Pelodiscus sinensis: one gene and its partner. The protein of the gene in region 1 purifies or fractionates together with the protein of each later gene. This does not show direct contact. Links are inferred from orthologs where the notes say so. Each region holds a gene or a part of one and is shown in the gene's direction. Other genes may lie near its edges.

What was found.
Region 2: the proteins of TRIM33 (region 1) and SKIL purify together in Homo sapiens (affinity purification with western blotting; 4 studies listed by BioGRID and IntAct, with this or other methods). This does not show direct contact. The link is inferred for Pelodiscus sinensis from reciprocal best matches to the Homo sapiens genes TRIM33 and SKIL.

The regions. Positions count from the first base shown.
Region 1 is NC_134737.1:760,901-770,942, forward strand, and holds the start of TRIM33 (E3 ubiquitin-protein ligase TRIM33), read left to right. Parts: upstream 1-5,581; 5' UTR 5,582-5,733; coding exon 5,734-6,145; intron 6,146-10,042. UniProt on the Homo sapiens protein: Acts as an E3 ubiquitin-protein ligase. Promotes SMAD4 ubiquitination, nuclear exclusion and degradation via the ubiquitin proteasome pathway. According to PubMed:16751102, does not promote a decrease in the level of endogenous SMAD4.
Region 2 is NC_134720.1:38,847,982-38,858,673, forward strand, and holds the start of SKIL (ski-like protein), read left to right. Parts: upstream 1-6,008; 5' UTR 6,009-6,150; intron 6,151-6,733; exon of another isoform or gene 6,734-6,799; intron 6,800-7,624; 5' UTR 7,625-8,389; coding exon 8,390-9,496; intron 9,497-10,692. UniProt on the Homo sapiens protein: May have regulatory role in cell division or differentiation in response to extracellular signals.

The DNA.
Region 1 (10,042 bases):
TAGGAAGTAATTCTCCCTTCCCCTCTTTTCCCCCATACCAGGGTGCACGCCTCATTCTCCGGGGTTTTAATCTTGCCAGGCTTGCAGCAGTCTTATGCCCAAAAGTGACTCTACACATGTTTGAAGAGTTTGGGTGAGGGTCACCAGAAAGAAGGTGCTGCCTTTGCAAGAATTTCCTGCCACGAACCCTTAAGGATCATGAGGAGAGACTCAGGTTACCACTTAGGGAGGGTGCACTTGTCCAAGAGGCTTGTTAGAACATAAGAACGGCAATACTGGGTCAGATCAAAGGTCCATCCAGCCCAGTACCCTGTCTGCCGACAGTGGCCAATGCCAGGTGTCCCAGAGGGAGTGAATCGAACAGGTAATGATCAAGCGATCTCTCTCCTGCCATCCATCGCCACCCTCTGACAGACAGAGGCTAGGGACACCATTCCTTACCCATTCTGGCTAATAGCCATTTATGGACTTAACTTCCATGTATTTATCGAGTTCTCTTTTAAACCCTGTTCTAGTCCTAGCCTTCACAACCTCCTCAGGCAAGGAGTTCCACAGATTGATTACGCACTGTGTGAAGAAGAACTTCCTTTTATTTGTTTTAAACCTGCTGCCCATTAGTTTCATTTGGTGACCCCTAGTTCTTATATTAAGGGAACAAGTAAATAACTTTTCTTTATCAGCCCTCTCCACACCAGTCATGATTTTATAGACCTCTATCATATCCCCCCTCGGTCTCCTCTTTTCTAAACTGAAAAGTCCCAGTCGCTTTAACCTCTCCTCATAGGGGACCCGTTCCAAACCCCTAATCATTTTAGTTGCCCTTCTCTGAACCTTTTCTAATGCCAGTATATCTTTTTTGAGATGAGGAGACCACATTTGTACGCAGTATTCAAGATGTGGGCGTACCATGGATTTATATAAGGGCAATAAGATATTCTCCGTCTTATTCTCTATCCCTTTTTTAATAACTTTTTTGACTGCCGCTGTCCACTGAATGGACGTCTTCAGAGAACTATCCATGATGACTCCAAGATCTGTTTCTTGATTAGTTGTAGCTAAATTAGCCCCCTTCATATTATATGTATAGTTGGTTATTTTTTTCCAATGTTCATTACTTTACATTTATCCATATTAAATTTCATTTTCATTTTGTTGCCCAGTCACTTAGTTTGGTGAGATCTTTTTGAAGTTCTTCACAGTCATCTTTGGTCTTAACTACCTTGAGCAGTGTAGTCTCGTCTGCAAACTTTGCCACCTCACTGTTTACCCCTTTCATAGTCCATGAAAGTTGTTCTTTAATTTTCTGTCTTCTGTGTGATTGTGCCATTTGTGTTGCTGTTAATGTGCAGCAGGAAGATATTATGTAATGAAATAACTATATACTTTGTCTATTTAAAAGTGAACAGCAACACAACCTGTCACCAAAGCCTGTTCATAATATCAATATTTATGTAGGTTCAGGCTGCTGGCTAGAAGGGCAGTACACCCACATCCACTTTTAGGAAGTAAGGAAAAACTTAATCTGAACCAGTCCCCTGGGGAAAACAAAAGGCAGACAGCTGATGAAGAATATGAAACACTGGATGGGTATGTGAAAAATGAGATAAAAGCAGGAAGGAACTGGGCAACAATCTATAGTGTTGGTCCTAAATTTAACAGTTTTGAGTTAATCTAAACTAATTTTTAATTCCCATCATGTGGTTCAGAGATTAAGGATCACAACTCACAATTTCAATGCTATGCTCATTTAGTAAATTATTTTTTGGAACTCCAGATAGTAATCTTAAAAGCAGGTTTTTGCTTATTCTTAACCAATTAGTATTTATTTATTCATTCATTCACTGCAGACAATAGTGGTTTTCAGTAGGTTAAGTGTTAATCAAATGAGCACATAAGCTAGGTGTCTTAACAGTATAACCTGAAAAGGAAGAAGGAAATTACTGTGATTTGACTTAAAATTATTAGTACAAAATGCAAATGAAAAAATATCCTGTAATCTATCAGCAAGTAATATGTTTCCGATGAGGTAATTTATAAGAAATAAGGAGTTGGTCAAATTAGTCGAAACAATAGTAAAGAATAAAATTGTGCAGCATGTAGAAGAACATAATTTGTTGGACAAAAGTCAACATGGTTTCTGTAAAGGGAAATCCTGTCTTACTAATCTATTAGAGTTCTTTGAAGGGGTTAACAAGCATGCGGATAAGGGGGATCCAGTAGATATAGTATACTTGGATTTTCAGAAAGCCTTTGACAAGGTCCCTCTGACAAGGTCCCTCACCAAAGGCTCTTGTGTAAATTACATGGCCATGGGATAAGAGGGAAGGTCCTTTCTTGGATTGCGAACTGGTTAAAAGACAGGAAGCAAAGGGTAGGAATAAATGGTAAATTTTCAGATTGGAGAGGGGTAACTAGTGGTGTCCCCCAAGGGTCAGTTCTGGGACCAATCCTTTTCAACTTATTCATAAATGATCTGGAGAAAGGGGTAAGCAGTGAGGTAGTAAAGTTTGCGGATGATACCAAACTGTTTAGGATAGTCAAGACAGAAGCAGACTGTGAGGGACTCCAAGAAGATCTCACCAAACTCAGTGATTGGGCAGCAAAATGGCAAATGAAATTTAATGTGGATAAGTGTAAAGTAATACACATTGGGAAAAATAATCCCAACGATATGTACAGTATGATGAGGGCTAATTTGGCTACGACAAATCAGGAAAGAGATCTTGGTGTTATCGTGGATAGTTCCCTGAAAACTTCCACACAGTGTGCAGCGGCGGTCAAAAAGGCAAATAGGATGCTAGGAATTATTAGGAAAGGGATAGAAAATAAGACGCAGAATATCTTACTGCCCCTGTATAAAACTATGGTTGAATACTGTGTACAGATGTGGTCTCCTCACCTCAAAAAAGATATTTTGGCCTTGGAAAGGGTTCAGAAAAGGGCAACTAAGATGATTAGGGGTTTGGAACGGGTCCCATATAAGGAGAGGTTAAAGCAACTGGAACTTTTCAGTTTAGAAAAGAGGAGACTGAGGGGGGATATGATAGAGGTCTATAAAATCATGAGTGGTGTGGAGAGGGTGAATAAAGAAAAGTTATTTATTAGTTCCCATAATAGAAGAACTAGAGGACACCAAATGAAATTAATGGGTAGCAGGTTTAAAACTAATAAAAGAAAGTTCTTCACACAGCGTGTAGTCAACCTGTGGAACTCCTTGCCAGAGGAGGCTGTGAAGGCTAGGACTATAACAGAGTTTAAAGAGAAGCTAGATAATTTCATGGAGGTTAGGTCCATAAAAGGTTATTAGCCAGGGGATAAAATGGTGTCCTTGGCCTCTGTCTGTCAGAGGCTGGAGAAGGATGGCTGGAGACAAATCGCTTGATCATTGTCTTCGGTCCACCCTCTCTGGGGCACCTGGTGTTGGCCACTGTTGGTAGACAGGATACTGGGCTAGAAGGACCTTTGGTCTGACCCAGTACAGCCGTTCTTATGACTTCTAGTAGTTCACGCTATTTATCATTCTGTACAAAATGAAACCTTTTAGGTTTCAGGCAAATACAAGGCCAAGACAAATGTATGAGCAACTGTTTCAGAGGAACTGTCATTTTTCTACTCTCTGCTAAGCTTATTTGGGTTTGTAAGATTCACAAATCAATACATGTCTTGGCCTGTAATTGGCCCTCAACTGATTCCTTTGATAAGTGAAAGATCCAAATAGAAAGACCTTGCCTATAATTTTTTAATGAGTGAATAAGAGGCAACTTTTAAATTGTACCATTCCTCTGCACTGCTGGTTCATGATTCAGGGGGTAGAGAGGATAATGGTTCTGTCTGTTCCTTTGCATTCAAGCCCGGTTTCCCAACCGGGGTTCCGCAGACCATCATCAGGGGTTCCGTGAGAAATCGTGGAATAAATAACGCTGGGCGGGGCCTGGAGCATCTGTGTTGCCCTTCCTCTCCTGCTTGATTGACTTCTGCGCTGCTCAGGTGGGCTGCTGTGTGGGAGCAAGCAGCCATTTGGGCTCCGTGAGTGAGAGGCAGGAGTGGGAGGAGAGGAGAGAGAGTGAGGCAGGAGGGGGAGGATATTTGATATTTGAAAAAAAAATTAGATAATACAAAAAAAGACAGGAAAAATACTCCAGTTTTTTTTCTTACAATGTAAGCTCAGACGCACAACAGCTCTTTACAAATAAATGTTCTTGAAAAAAATTAGCAGTGATTGAATTGTGCTCCCCGCTGTCAACTTTTTCTGGCCAAGCAAATGTTTTCATAGGTACGGGTTCCTCGGGATTTGAAAAATTATTTTAGGGGTTCCTCCATGGGAAAAAGGTTGGGAATCACTATAGTAAGGGTTAGTCATGAACTACATGGGTCACTGCAGGCAGGGCAACATGAATTGCATTGCCAGTGGGTCACCTAGCTGAGAGAGAGACAACAGTGGGATGCTGTAGATTGGGCTGTTTGGTTTCTTTTCTTGGTGTTTGACTAGTAAGTGTTTGCAGGCAGTGAAAACAAATATAGCTATACCCCTATTTGGTTCATTGACAGAGACAAACCAGGTCCTCAGTGTAATGCCATTAGCCCCCATGCATTGAGCTGAAAGCCCCAAACACCTGGCAGACGGGCTGCAGCTTAGTCAAACTTTGTTGTGAACTTATCCCTCAGGCCACTCTTGTTGATGCTTATGGACACCACGGAGCTGCTTTGTTCCATCTGCTGTCAAAGGAGTTGAGCCTGCTATGGCTGGGGCTGGGCAAGAGATGTCTGTGGGCAGCCAAGGAAAGAAAGACTCCTAATCCCGTAGACAGGCCTGAGTGCAGAGAGACCCCCCAGTGGAGAAGCCCCCCGGGAATGGACAGGCTTGAGTGGAGAGCAACACGCACCATGGACAGGCCAGCGCACAGAGCCCCTTGTGCCCCCAGCGCTGGGCCTCGCTCACGCAGGCTCGGTGCACAGCTTGGCCTGGTTCCCAGCGGCCCCGGGGGGCTCCGGGCAGCTCCAAGTCTCTGTGGCTGGGCTGGCAGGCTCCCAGGCAGGGGGTGCCCCCCCTGCATGGACTCCACTGATCCCATTGGCTGGAATCAGGGCCAATGGGAGCAGGGGGGCCTGCCCATGCCTGGAGCCACAGGGCCTGCTGCTGGGGGGGGCTACCTGCACCCTGAAAGTCCTGCCCAGCCCCACCCCTGTGCAAATGAGCGATGGGGGCGGGGCAAGGGGCCTTGGTTTTGTACCCCTGCCTGGCCGTCAGCCCCTGGCACTGGCGGAGGGGTGAGAAAGGTTCCCCCCCAGGAGTGGGCCGTGCCGCTGCCTATCACGCTCCCCGCAGTGGCAGTTGGCTGCCGTGGCTCGGCCGCTTGGAAGCTGATTGGCGGCGGCCCCTAGCGCAGCCCACGGCGCAGCCAGTCGGGCGTCGAGCTGCAGCGCGAGCCTGGCGAAGTCGCAAGGAAGCCCCGCCCCTTCCCTCCCGGCGGCGCAGCAGCTCTGGCTCCACTCAGGGCGGAGCTTCACGTGCACGCGCATGCGCCGCCGCTCCACAGGACCCCGCCGCGCGCGTCCCCTTTGCCGCGGCGGCTCGGCCCGGCACGTGCTCAGCCCCGCCCCTCCGCCGCCTGCCGCGTAGCTGGCGGGCACGAGCCCGCAGCGCGTGCGGGGAGCCCGGTGACGCGGGGCGTGCGGGCGCAGGCGCGGCGCGGTGCGTGCGCGGAGCGGGGAGTCGGGTTCAAAGGAGGAAACATGGCGGAAAACAAAGGAGGCGGCGGGGAGGGGGCCGCGGATCCCGGCCCGGTCGGCCAGGAGCCCGCGGCCGCGTCCCCCCCCGGCCCCGCCCCGCTCGCGCCCGCGGCCGCCCCGCCCGAGGAGCGCGAGAGCCCCGGCGCGGCGGCCGAGAAGGGCCCGGCCGAGGCGGAGGCGGAGGCCGCGGCGGGCCCGGGCCCGAGCCCGGTGCCCCCCCTGCCGGCGGCCGCGCCGGGCCCGCTGTCGCTGCTGGACACCTGCGCCGTGTGCGCGCAGAGCCTGCAGAGCCGGCGCGAGGCCGAGCCCAAGCTGCTGCCCTGCCTGCACTCCTTCTGCCGCCGCTGCCTGCCCGAGCCCGAGCGCCAGCTCAGCGTGCCCGTGCCGGGCGGCGCCAACGGCGACATCCAGCAAGGTGAGGCCTGGCGCGAGCCCTCAGGCCGGCGCTGCCATCTTGCGCGGCAGGGAACGGTCAGCGCGGAGCCTCTGCCCCGCGCAGCGCTGCGTGTGAGGGGCCTGTAGCTGCCTGCGCCACAGCGCACCCGACGCGCGGCCCGGCAAGGTGACGGTCTTGCCCTTGTTAGAACTGAGAACTTTGTTGGCAAGTCTTCTCCGCTCCGGTCTGCACTAGGGAGTCTCGGTTATTTCAAAATAATGAGCAGCAAGTCCACATTACCAAGCCCTTTATTTCTAAATAGTGGGCTGGTTATTCAAAATCTGAACTTCTGCTTTCCTTGGGGAATAACGCTTATTTTGAAATAACTATTTTGAAATTGTGGTAGTGTGGACACTCCACTGCTGCTATTTCGAAATAACTACTCCCCAGACTAATTCAAAGTAAGCTTCGGGGATAGCCAAGTTAGTTTGTACAGGGTAAACTTAAAAAAATAACAAATAGTCTGGTAGCACTTTAAAGACTCTCAAAACATGTAGACAGTATCAGAGGGTATCATGAGCTTTCGTGGGCACAGCCCACTTCTCCAGAGATGATCTGAAGAAGTGGGCTGTGCCCACGAAAGCTCATGATACCGTCTACATGTTTTGTGCGTCTTTAAAATGCTACCAGACTATTTGTTGTTGTTTTTTTAAGAAAATTCAAAGTAATTACTCCCCTGTGCTTTCCTGGGGCTCTAAGTTGAGGTAGAGCATCCCCATTCATGGAGCTTGCCTTGGACTAGTTTCAAAGCTCCCTTAAATAGGGGACACATTATTTCGATTTTGTTATTTCAGGACTAATTTCAAATTTTCTTATTTCAAAATAATTTCCTAATGTAGACATGCCCTCAAAGAGTTTTGTCTCTGGAAGTTTATAATATGAATGTCAAGTAGCAATTTGAAGAAGTTAACTTCATTTGAATCCAGATTATTATTTGGTTTCTGGCTAGAAAAATTTACATGCTCACATTAAATGATGCTGTGTCCGATGGTGTAATATCTTCATGCTCCATTAACATTGGGATAAACAATGGGATTTATTTCTAAACTTGATTAAAATTGAATTTTGTCATGTTTTGAAATTTTCTGGTTTTAGATATTTAACTTAACTATTTGTAAAAACTGCTTTTAAAGTGGTATTTTGGTTAGTGTCAGTGCTTTTTTGTGTATTTTAAAAAAAAAGTACCAGTACTCCACGGGAAAAGTTGTTGAGCTCTGCCTGGAGGTGCTGGTACTGTGTCTGGAGGTATGTAGTACCATCACACAGAAAGCATTGGTTAATGTTCTTTTTAACCAATCTGGGGAACACTTACTTGAGGCCCGTTTTCCAGTTTTACAACTGTTAAAAATATTGCTTACTTAGGTGAAATCTAATTAACCTAAATGGAGCTCTTTGTAAAATGCTATTTATCTTCATCTATACGTAACAATAACAGTGTCATTCTTTTCATGACTGAAACATTTCAGACATTTCTGTTTACAAATCAAATTGCTGCTGCTGCTCCTTTTAATAAAACTTGGTTTGGCCTTAGTCATCAATGAGTACTTTTGGCATGTATTAACGACCTTAGGTTAGAAACACCCATAAATATTTGTATGTGATGTGCACATGGTATGTGTACACAGTTAGGTTCAGAGCTTCAGCTATGCACATATGGTTGACAAAGCAGTGGTTTTCAGCCAAGGTATGTGTACTTCTGGGTTTACACAAAGACAGTATATCAACAGGCTATGTGAAAAGCACTAGTAGAATCAGTACAAAGTAAAATTTCATTTCCAGTGTTATACTATACACTGAAATATAAATACAGACCAATATTTATATTCCACTTGATCTTTTTTATAATGGTATGGTAAAAATGAGAAAACAAGCAATTTTTTGTACTAATGTTCTGTAAGTTTGCCTGATTATGTGTGTGTCTGATTTTGTAAGTAAGATGAAACTTGGGGGAGACACAAACAAATCAGGCTCTGGAAGAGAGTACAGTAGGTTGGAAAGTTTGAGATCCTCTGATCTGCAGTATAAACTGATGAATACAGTAGTTCACACTTTGCCAACTGGTCCACCTTTTAACCTTGCCTGTTCTGTACATTATACATGTGTCTCATGATTATGTGAATAAGAGCTGAACTTGTGCATTCTCTGTTGTGTGCTCTTGTTGAGTACACATCTTGAATTTTTCTTTGGATTGCAGGAAAAGTATAGAGAACTCATCAGATGTTGTAGAACATGGTATCAGGTGGTCCATCTTAAAATGAAAGGTGATTAACTGTACTTTGAAAATGCTATTTGGAGGATTCTGACACACCTGATGGTCTTTTGCTGAGCCTAGAGTCTACATTTTCCGTACTATAGAGAATGTACACTAATAAAGGATGTAGAATATTAAGCCAAATGTTGCATGCTTTAACAATAGCATGCCCAGCTAAACAAGTGTAGAGAATTAGTAAAGAGTAATTTCTGCAGAAAATAATTGAGGCTGGAAAATACATTCCAATTCTCTTGAAGAACACTCATATTTTGTGCAGGTGTAAAAGGCTTTATAACTGTTTGGGGCAACTTAGATGCATAACTGATGTGTAAATTGAGATGTATAAATACAGGCAGTCCCCGACTTACGTCGGATCCGCACTTACAAACTGGGATTTTCTCGCCCCGGAGCTCACGGGCGGCGAGTCGCCACCCGTGTCCTCTGGGGCGAGAAAAGCTTCTCCCGGTCTCCCTGGTCTGCTGGGGGGGTCCAGCAAAGCCGCTGGACCCCCCCAGCAGACCAGGGACACCCGAGCAAAGCCTCGGAGCACGCAAGCAGTGGGACAGCCGCGGTGCGCCTGGACTGTCCCGCTGCCCGCGTGCTCTGCGGCTTTGCTCCACGTCTCCCAGGTCAGCAGACCAGGGAGACGGAGCAAAGCCGTGGAGGACTTGGGCGGTCCCGCCACCCCCGTCTCCCTGGTCTGCTGGGAGGGGCGGGGGTGCAGCTAGTGCCCCCCCCAGCAGACCAGGCTTTTCTTGCCTACCCTTGGGGTAGAGCAGCTGGGGGCTGCCGGGTTGGTCCCGCAGCGCCGCTCCGGACCAACCTGGCAGCACCCCAGCTGCTCTGCCCCAGGCGTCCTGATTCAGCCGCTGCTGGTCAGTTTCAGCAGCGGCTGAATCAGGACGCCTGGGGCACAGCAGCTGGGGTGTTGCTGGATTGCTCCAGTAGCGCCAAGGAGCCGCGGAGCAACCCAGCAGCACCCCAGCTGCTCTGCCCCAGGGGTCCCCAAGTCAGCTGCTGCTGAAACTGACCAGTGGCTGACTACAGGAAGCCCGAGGCAGAGTTGCTCTGCCCCAGGCTTCCTGGAATCAGCCGCTGATCAGTTTCAGCAGCAGCTGACTTGGGGACGCCTGGGTTTCTTAAGTTGAATCTGTATGTAAGTCAGAACTGGCATCCAGATTCAGCCCCAGTTGAAACTGATCAGTTTCAGCAGCGGCTGATGCCAGTTCTGACTTACATACAGATTCAACTTAAGAACAAACCTACAGCCCCTATCTTGTACGTAACCCGGGGACTGCCTGTATCCAGTACTGTGGTTCGTTTGGCTAAGGGTATCTAAATCCATGCCTCTGAATGGCTCTGAAAATGCATCAGCCACATGGGCAAGAATGTACAGAGCCCTATTGGAAGCGGTGGAGGACAGTGTGCAATATTATGTGGTAAAACTTCCATCAGCTCAGCAGGTTGCCTATCAGTTGAGTAAAACCAGAAGGCTAGATATTGTGGACATGCATTCCTACATGCTACACTTTTTCAGAAGTTCCTTTCCTTTCGTATATAATTCTGCAGTCCATATGGCTTGCTAGCCTACCATGAGCAACTACTTGAAGACTTGTGGGTCTTGA
Region 2 (10,692 bases), on another chromosome or scaffold:
CCCTGCATGGATGGCAGCCGAGGCACAGACGTTCGCACAGCCCCACACAGCTGCCGTCCACCAGGTGCGCCAGGATGGGGTGCGCATCAGAGAGGCCCTGGTGGACATGTTCGCCCAAGCCCCGTAGTAGGGTCACCTGGGTCTCCCCAGACGACTCCCTCCCATCCCATACTCTTCTCCACCCCCTCCCCTTATCTCCCCCCAATTGTAAAGCGTTGGTTCCAAGCACATCGGCCGTCATCGTGATTGTTCGTCGGGTGCGTCGGACGTAGTTAGGGTTTTTCTTTTTAGTTTAGGCTAGGGTTTAGGCCACCATTGCCTGTCCCGAAGAACAGGGAAGAGGATTCAGGGTTCGTGCGGAAGGCTCAAGTCAGCGTACCTGATTCCAGTCATCTTTGAGGGATCTCCTGGCTGTTCCTCTCCCAAGGCCCGGAAGGACCAAAGGATTGAGTTTGCCAGCAACACTACCAATCATCCTCCCTGCGCCTAGACTATGTTTACATAATCTTTAGTGTGCGTCTTTTAACCTTTCTTGCTTGTTTGTTATCTGTGTTAAATATAGTTTGTGGTTTAAATTTTACTGAAAAGTCTCAGTATTTATTTATGAACCACAAACCAATGGCCACTTAAAAAGGACCCCCGGTGACAGAATACAGAATTTGGTGTCCACAGTTTGTAACCCTTTTAAATTTAGGTGGCTAATTGGCATCTCAAAGCATTTCTTACAGTTACCTCGAGTAACACAATAACCACACAAGAATCAACTGAAAAATAGACTTTTTATTTACAAGGGGGAGGGGGAGGAGACCTTCAACTGGGACGGGGAGGGGGAGGAGCTACTGGGACGGGTGGCCCCTGCGAGCGTTCCTTCGGGGGCAGACCTGCACATGCGGGGCAGGCCGCACAGGGAGGTGGGCAGGAGCAGGGGCAGGAGCTGGGATAGGAGCAGGGGCCATTGCAGGGGCAGGAGGGGGCATGGGGTACAGCCATGCTATAATGTACGGCGTGCACAAAGTGTGTAGTGAGGATGGCCATGTAGTCGGCCATCCTTGTACACTGTGCCTGGAAGGCACCCCAGGCCGCCTGCCGCCACTGCAGGTCCCCCTGCACACGCTCGCGAATGGAGGCCTGGATTGCCTCCACCGCTACAATGTGGCGGCGAAGCAGCTGGTCCTGGTGTCGGAGCCAGCGCCTCCGGGGTTGGCCAGCTGGGGGTGCCTCTGCTGCTGGACTGGAGGGTCTTGTGTTCGGTCCCGCTGTAGGGAAGAGAAGAAAGGATGGGTCAGTCAGGCAGGCCCTCCACCCCCCCCACACCTCATGCCCTCCACCCCTGAGCCCAGGTGACCCCACAGTTGTGTGGCTTGGGCCCACTTGGTTCCCCTCCTGCCCCCTGTGTTGTATGTTTGCAAGGAGGACCGCCCCTGGAGTAGGGCCCTCCTCCAGTATTGTAACCACCGGTCTGTGTCCTGGCCCCGTGGAGGGCGGGAGGGTGCTTGTGTTGCGTTCACCTGTGGAACTCCCTGCTGGTGGAGACTGAAGCTTTGGGCTAATCACTGGTGTTTGACAGGGAGCGAGATGCATCCCCACACAGTGCCTGGGAGCACATCTGGCAGAGGTGGTCTGGGCTCTCAGATCCCATCGTGTGGGATATCTCCTGGGCGGAACCAGAAGAGTGACTGGGGAAAGGGGGTGTCCCATCCTTGCAGCAAAACTCAGGGCGGGCCTTCTCCCTCCCACTATCCCTCCCACAACCCCGGTAGCCCAGGGACATGTGTAGCCACAGTGGGGACTTCCCTCGGGGAGTCAGCCAAGGCACCGGGAGCAAGTGAGGGGCTCGGTGGGGGCCACGCTCACAGGACTGTGATGCTGCGGTGTACCCAAGAGCAGCTGGCTGTGCCTCACAGCCAGGCATGGGACAGTGTGCAGTTCTCTGTGCTGCACCCTTGGCGGAGGTGAGGGCTCTGGGCTGAGTCCCTGGGGCCTTGGCTGATTCCAGCTGGCATCCACCCTTTCCCCTGGTCTCGCCGAATGTGTGTGAGCAGCACAGTCCTAGGCGTGCCCTGCAGCTGCCTGCTGCGGCCACGTGCTGCTTGGTCACCAGGCTGCATGTGGTTGCACGTGCTGCTTGCTGCCTAATGCTACACAGCATGCAACTCACGTGGCCTGAGTGGCATGCTCTCCCCCTCCCCACTCCAGGTGCCTGGCTCTCGCCCCCCCCCCCCCCCCCCCCGCCCTCCGCCCTCCGCCCTTGTGAGTGCAAACTGCAAAGACTCACCAGTGGATCCTTCCCCGGAGGAGGAGCTGCTGGAGGGGGCCTGCTGGATGGCAACGCTGGCCTCCTCTCCTGAAGCGCCACCACTGTTCTCTCCTTCCCCTGCCTCAGTGTTTCGGATGACGGGGGGGGGGGCGCTGGCAGGTGTCCACGGGCACGTCCGGGCCTTGCAGGGCTGGCTGCCCAAGGATGGCATGCAGCCAGTCGTAATGGGGGCAGGTGTCTGGTCCTGCCCCCCTGCCCTTGCTGGCCCGCACGTACCCCAGCTGGAGCTCCTTAACTTTTGCCTGGATTCGCTCGCTGTTCCGGGCAGGGTATCCCTGTTGGGTCAGAGCCTCGGCCATCCGGACAAAGATGTCGACATTCCGGCGCCAGGACCGGATGTCATGGAGACCATCCTCCTCCTGCCAGAGGTCCAGGAGGATCTCCAGCTCCCTGGGGGTCCAGAGGGAGCCCGCCTTTTGCGGCCTCTGGGGGCCTCCTGAGCTGGGAGTGCAGGGGGCTCACCACCAGGAGCTGCCATGGCTGGCTTGTGAGGCTTGGCTGGGCAGGACAGGGGCGCTGTGGCAGAGCTCAGTGGCAGGCCTGAGGCCCGCTTCTGCCACGTGCGCTCAGCAGCCTGCGACTGCTTTAAGAGCTTGGGTTACCAGGAAGTCCAGGGCTCCTACGGGGTCTCCAGGCGTCCAAACCGCTTTTTTCCGTTTCTTCTGTTTTTTCGGAAAAGCGGTAGCTAGCTGTCTACACTGGCCCTTTTCCGGAACAGTTTTCCGGAAAAAGGACTTTTGCCCGAACGGGAGCGGCAAAGCTTTTCTGGAAAAGCGGCTGATTTCTTACAGTAGATCGTCATTGCTTTTCCAGAAAATCAAGCAGCCAGTGTAGACAGCTGGCAAGTTTTTCCAGAAAAGCGGCTGATTTTCCGGAAAAACTTGCCAGTGTAGACACAGTCCACCTGTGTCAAGGTGATCAATTCTGGCTCTTTTGGGTTGAAATTCACTTAAGACTTGGAGCTGGGAGAATGAAATGTTGTTATCCATATTGTATGATTAAAAGATTAAAGACCTGAACTTAATATGACCTGGCTTAGGGTCTACCATAACTTGAACACTAAGCAGAGGATAGTGAGTCACATCTAACTGAAAGTCACAAAAGATGGAAACAGGTTTTATTTCTGGTGGTGTAGAGTCTATTTGGGTTTGGACTTGATGACCTCCTGAGGTCTCTTCCAACCCTATGATTCTTTGATTCTATGACCTAGTTTTCACCGTTTGTGGGATTCTTTTATTGAGTTTCAGTTAACTGAATATCTTCTGGTTAAGCCAAGACAGTCTCTTTCTGTACTTCCTATCTTTCCTATAATTTGTTCGTGTGCCCCTAACAATATCTCTTTGAAAAACTACCAACTGACTTCAACTTTTTTCCCCTGTTAAACTTGCTTCCCAATGGATCTTACCTACCAATCCCTGATTTTGCTATAAGTCTGCTTTCTTGAAATCCATTTTCTTTATGGTGATGTTTTCCCTTTTATCATTCCTTATAATCATGAATGCTATCATTTCATGATTGCTTTCACCCAAGTTGCCTTCCACTTTAAAATTCTCTATAAATACTTCATTATTTGTGAAAATCAAATCTAGAACGTCTCCCTTTGTGGCTTTCTCCACTTTGTGTAATAATAATTGTCTCCAATACAGTCCAAGAATTTGGTTGGATAATCTATGCTCTCCTGTGTTATTTTCCCAATAGATGTCTACGTAGTTAAAGTCCACCATCACCACCAAGTCCTGTGCTTTGTATCATTTTGTTAGTTGTTTATAAAAATCCTCATCCACCTCCTCTTCCTCTTTTGGTTGTTTGTACAGGTTGAACCTCTGAAATCCTGTGCTTTCTGGTCTGGTAGGACATGGATATTGTTGGACCAAACAGCGCATCTGGGAGCAAAGGCAGCCAGGGTCAGGAGCAAAGCCCTGACCAGCGGCAGCAGGTTTGGTGGTCAGGAGCCCTTGCCAGGCGGGTCGCTGGGAGCACAGCCCAGGCTGGTGCAGTGGTGAGCTAGCAGCGGGGTTGGGACAGCTGGCAGTGGGGCTGTTGGAGTGAGGAATGCAGCCCCAGCTGGGGCTGGTGGCAGGGGGCTGGCAGGGTGGGAAGTGTGTTGTCTCTTCTCTCCTTTACCCCAGCTATAACACCCCCAGATTCCAACCCTTCACCCAGGTCTCCATCTTTGTCTCAAAATGGAGGAAAGGGGGTTTTGCATTGTACATGTTTGGGAAGGAGGGCAGTCTTTTTGGTGGAGGGCCCTGGAAGGGTATCAGAGAGGTCGCCATGAGCAGTGGAGAGGGAGATGGGCTTTGTTTAGGAGTTCAAGGGAAGTTTGCTGGGTGGGGAGCAGAGGTGAAAGTAAGGCGGTGTACCTCAGTGCTCTGCTCCAGAAAAAGCTGTCTGGGCTGCTGGACTGGAGGGTGCATGTCCAGCTGGGTTCCCCTGGCTCTCCTTTAGATTGCTATAGTAAGCAGCAGGAAACCAGAAAACCCTCCCTTTCTGCACCCTTTAGGGACAGGGCAGGGGCTTTGTTCTACTTCCCTCACTCTCAGGGTATGTCTATACAGCATGGCTAATGTCGACTTAAGCTATGTAACTTCAGCTACGTCAACTGTGTAGTTTAAGTCAAAATAGCTTAACTCAACTTTAGGCGCTGTCTCCATAGCAGGAAGTTGAAGGAATAACACTCTTTCTTCAACTTCCCTTACTCCTCCTAAAATGAGGGTTACAGGAGTTGGAGTAAGAAGTTCTCAGCTTGACATTATTGTGAAATAAAGGTTTGTAGTGCAGACGTGCTCTTTGTTATTTTGGAATGCTACCGTATAGACGATTCCCAGGAAGCAAGTATCCAGCTGCATTCCTGTCCCTCCTGGCTGGGGAGGAGAAGGAGGCAAAGGAGTGAGTGACACATGCTGTGTGCTTTCCCCTCCCTTAAAGGAACAGCAAGGAGCAGTGTGGATAGGAATGGGGTGGGCCTCACACCCCCTCACCTCCTGCCCTCTCTAAAGGATACTGTCATATTGCACCCCTGCCCTGATCTCCCCCCCCGGGGGGCAATAAAAGAGTACCTCTAAAAATGTAAGTTACTTTCACCCCTGGAGGGGGAGAGTCACTATGGTGAAGCAGGAATCAGCTTTGTGTGACACAATGGGGGCCTTTGTACAGACTGACTCTGGAGGCCAACACAAGGAGGAAGGGACACACTGGCCCCTGCGTGTGGATGCAGGGCTGGCTGAGAAGCGGGATAGCTTTGAGGTGGGTCTCAGAGCTTCTCTGTGGGAAGAGGGGGTCAGTGGGGCAGGGCTTGCTGTGGAAAAGGGGGCTCGTTGGGAGTTGTAAGGCAAGACGCAGCTGGTGTAATGTGGAGAGCCGCTGTGGGGGATGGTCTATGTGGAAGGCACCTGGCTGGGGCTCTCCTGGCGTTAGGGAGCATGGGGCAAAGATGGGGTCGCTATGGGATCGTGGGGGGGGGGGGGAAGCTGCATAGGGGTGGGGGCCCCTGGGGTCAATGACCGAAGGGGGGGCTGAAGGAGCAGGTCATGTGTAGACCCGCTTCCGTGCCTGGCTCTGTCCGGGCGGGGGGGGGGGGGGAGGCGCCGTGTGGGGAGGAAGGCGAGGTTCCGCCCCCGACGCGACACCAGCTTTCGCTGTGCCTGGGGGGAGGGGAAGCCGCTGGCAGCCGCCGCGGCGCTACCCCAGACAGTGGGCGGGGCTGGAGGCGGGGGCGCGCACCCGCCGGGTTGGTGCCCGCGCGCCGCCGTCTCCGCAGTGAGGTCACGGGTGGGCGGTGCGTGCGCGGCTTCTGTTCCACTGTTGGGGTGTCGGGGTCCCCACGATGCAGGGTGAGGAGCCGGGGCCTGCTGCCGGCGGGGCGGTGCAGCGGGGGGTACGGAGAGCGTGCGCGGCGGCGAGGGGGAGGGGAGGCTATTCATGAGAGGGGTAGGAGTGTCTGTGGGGGGAAGGGGACAAATCCAGGGAGGAGACGGGGGGGGGGGGGGCTGATTGTCTGCGGGGGCAGAGTGTCTGTGCGGGGGGAGGGGTTAGTCCAGAGGCGTCTGTGTGGGAGGGAGCAGTATTCCCCAGCTGGGGGACTGTCTGTGGGGGATGGAGCTTAGTGGAAGGGGGGGGCGTTGTGGGGGAGGGTGACCCCACAAGCGGGGGGGGGGTAATGTGGGGAGTCTCTGAAGGAAGGGAATTGTTTCCGGTCGGGAGGCGCGTGGGCTGTGTGTGTCCCCTGGGGTGATGTGAAGAGCTGGGTGGTAGGGTGTGTGGGGGAGGGGGAGCCTGGGGGGGGGGGGGGTAGGGAGCGTGTATGTGTGTGTGGATTGGTCCGAGGAGAAGTTGTGTTGCGGGTCGGTGCCAGGGAGCAGTGGGAACCGGGGGCTACGCGAGAATTGGCGGGGTGTGGGTGGGGGGGGGGGTGGAAGAGTCAGTGGTAGGTTTGAATGAGGGATCACTTCAGTATTTGGAGTGTCTGTGGAAGGAGGAAGGGTAAGTCCTGTATGTGGCGGAGTCCTGTCCGATCAGAGCGTGCGTAATGCTTGAGTGTGACTGAGGTGGAGGTGAGTCACGGGGGGGGGGGGCATAGTCTGGGTGGAGTGTGAGAGAGACAGGATGGTGGTGAATGTCGGGGTTATTCCAGGGAGGGCCGCTGTGTGAGGAAAGCACGGGAGAGGGAGGACCTTAGTTTCAGGGAGAATATAACGAGTGAGCTTTGGAAGAATACATGCGTATAGACTGAGGTTGGCTCAGAGATAGCAGTAGGGGTGTTGCCTAGTGTCTGGTTTGGGAAAGAGTCTAGGTTGTTTTCAGTTTTAATTACCTGTATGTTGAATTTATTTGAACTGCACTAACTGTAAAAAGTGTGAAGATTGAAGTTAGGAGAAATACTTTAATTTCAGTTATATATTCAAGGAAATGGGGGCTAGTTTGTCCCCTTATCCTTTTCTTGCCCTGCAATCTCTGAAAGTACAACCCCCCACACACTTTTTTTCCTGGATTCTGTCCCTGGAGTTTGCAAAGCATTGAATGGGGTGAAGGATTAGGTGATTTCCCCCATGTGTCTCCTTTGCCACATGTTTGCAGCACTCTCAATGAGTTATGTTGATGCTGCTGGTGCCAGGTTTATGCATGTGTCATAATAGGGTTTATGATATCTAAATCCAAGCTTTCTGCAAATTAGTTAAGAGTTAGTTATTTAGGGAGCATATTCCAGTTGTGATATATTGAATACATTTCAAGATTCAGGGACTGTTTTAGATAAAGGTATTACTCTTCACATGTGAATGATTACTGATTTTTTTCCTTTTTTTACAGGTTATATAAAAGGATTGCCAGAGATTTGTATTATTAGTCCAAACTATGAATCTCGTATATGGCCTGGATCTTATTTTCATTGCCAATAAGTTGAGATAGGAAAACTGACAGATGCTAGGGAAATTTTTACTGATGCTTATTCTACAGGGATGTTTGGTTTCTACCAGCAACCCTGGATCAGCCTTTAATTTGTGGACTTAACAGAGATTTACCATAATACATTTCTCCACCACTGGAGGTGTGATTTAAACTTGGCTGCACAATAAATAAAGTGACTAAGCTCTGTGTTCGATCCTGTGAGTTGAAAGGGATGTGCTGCATAAAGCATGCCCACAACTAAAATTATCTTTTGGAAGAATTGCATTAACGCCAGTGCTGCTCAGTCTGAGAACAAGTGATTTTGTATTTTAATACTTAAATGGAAGCATATATGAAGTGAAAAGTCAGCATGTTTTTTAAAAGAAAAATTTGATGAAAATCAGATTTTTTTTTTAATATAAGAACTGAACACATATATTTAAGTGCAAAAGAAAACTCTTGCTTAACCCTTCCACCCTTGAATTTTATGCTACATGAAAAATAGGTTACATTTTTAGCTCTTGAGGTGAGATTAAATCCTCACTTTAAGGAGATAGCACAATATCTGCTGGACAGGAGATAATTAAAGTACTTGGAAATTGGCGTGTCTTTAAGAAATACAAATTAAACACATACTAGAAAAATGCACATTTCAAACCTATTTATTTAAAATTCTGAGGTTCAGTGATGGAAAGTCCACAAACAAATTTCCCTGTAAGTGCAGGTTCTGACCAAAAAGAGTGTGGGATCCAAGAAGATGGCAGTCCACCAGTAAAAAAAATAATGACAGAAAAGCATGTAAATAGCAAAGTACAAGCTGTAGTAAATAAATTGCCAACGATAAAAAAGGAAAATGTGGATGAATATGAAGAAACTCCCATGGAGTCTGATGGAGAAAATGCCAAACCAAACAGTACTACAATATCTGAGCCTTTGAATTTAAATCCTGGTTTGAAACACACATTGGCACAGTTCCATTTAAGCAGCCAGAGTTCACTGGGTGGGCCAGCAGCTTTTTCAGCTCGTTATTCCCAGGAAAGCATGTCACCCACTGTCTTTGTGCCTCTTCCATCACCACAGATACTTCCTAGCCCATTGCTCATTCCTTCAGACAGTTCTACAGAGCTCACTCAGACTGTATTGGAGGGAGAATCTATTTCTTGTTTTAAAGTTGGAGGGGAAAAGAGACTCTGTCTGCCTCAAGTATTGAATTCAGTGCTCCGAGATTTTTCACTACAGCAAATTAATACAGTGTGTGATGAACTGTATATATACTGCTCGAGGTGCACTTCTGACCAGCTTCATATCCTAAAGGTTTTGGGAATCCTTCCATTTAATGCCCCATCCTGTGGGTTGATCACACTGACTGATGCTCAAAGACTATGCAATGCTTTACTGCGTCCTCGCACTTTTCCTCAAAATGGCACTCTGCTTCCTGCAAAAAACACATTGGTCCAACTGAAAGAGACTGGCAGAGCCTTTGAGGTAGAGCATGAGTGCTTGGGCAAGTGCCAGGGTTTGTTTGCACCTCAATTTTACATTCAGCCGGATGCTCCATGTATTCAGTGTTTGGAGTGCTATGGAATGTTTTCACCCCAGACATTTGTGATGCATTCACATAGATCTCCTGACAAGAGGACCTGCCACTGGGGCTTTGAATCAGCCAAATGGCATTGTTATCTTCATGTTAACCAAAAATATTTAGGCACTTCAGAAGAGAGAGAACTGAAGCATCTTTTGGAGGAAATGAAGGAGAAGTTTAGCATGAAAAATCAGAAAAGAACACAATCCAAAGTAAGTTTGACTATTGAAAAATTTCTGAATCAAAAATGAAATTTATTTTAAAAGTATTCAGTTTTATCAATGTGAACAGGTATTAAGCTAAGCATAAGCTGAGTCTACTATAAAGCTTCAACACATAATACAAAGCAATAATGAAAATTCCTTTCTTGTTTGGGGTTTTTATGGTGGTACAAAACTTGCAAAAAAAAATTTTAGACTAAAAAACTAGGTTCCTTTTTTCTTTAAACTGGCAAAAACCAGGGACTTTAGTATCCTTATGGAAATACTGTCCTCTCATTTGATCTGCCACTTTTGTGTGATATTATATGTAGTGTATGTTGCCATGTGTAAGCAAAGCAGGAAGGAGCCTAAGAATGGAGCTTCAGCTTTAATTCTGTATTGGTCAGTTAAAGCAAGTTTAACTATATCCATGGCGAATATCCAATTAGCTTGCCAAGCACCCAATAGCATGCCATAGTCTTTCAATTAAGGTAATGGTGCATTGATAAGATATTATTTAAAAATGGAAAGTTTTGGTAATGTTTGGGTTTTTTTATTGCATTGATTATATATAATATAGATATGCCATAAGAGGTTCTTTAAGCAAGCTAAGAATTCTTTGTTGACATCTTGCGATACTGTTGGGATGGCATATTTTTATTACAAAAAAGTAGTGCTCTAAGTCTATGGCTACATCTACACTGGCATGATTTTCCGGAAATGCTTTTAATGGAAAAGTTTTCCGTTAAAAGCATTTTCGGAAAAACGCGTCTAGATTGGAAGGATGCTTTTCCGCAAAAGCACTTTTTCCGGAAAAGCATCCGTGGCCCTGATCGTCATTTTCACAATTAGGGCTTTTTTGCGGAAAACACTACTGTGCTGTCTACACTGGCCCTTTTCCGGAACAGTTTTCTGGAAAAAGACTTTTGCCCGAACAGGAGCAGCATAGTTTTTCCAGAAAAGCACGGATGATTTTACATTAGATCGTCAGTGCTTTTCCGGAAATTCAAGCGGCCAGTGTAGACAGCTGGCAAGTTTTTCCAGAAAAGCGGCTGATTTTCCAGAATAACTTGCCAGTGTAGACACAGCGTATATGATGCTTCATAAAAATGGTAGTTTGTGCCATAAAGAGCTTATAATCTGAATAATAAGACACATATTAGCCAAATATTAAACAGCTGTAGGGAAGGAATTATTAGTGCTTGAAG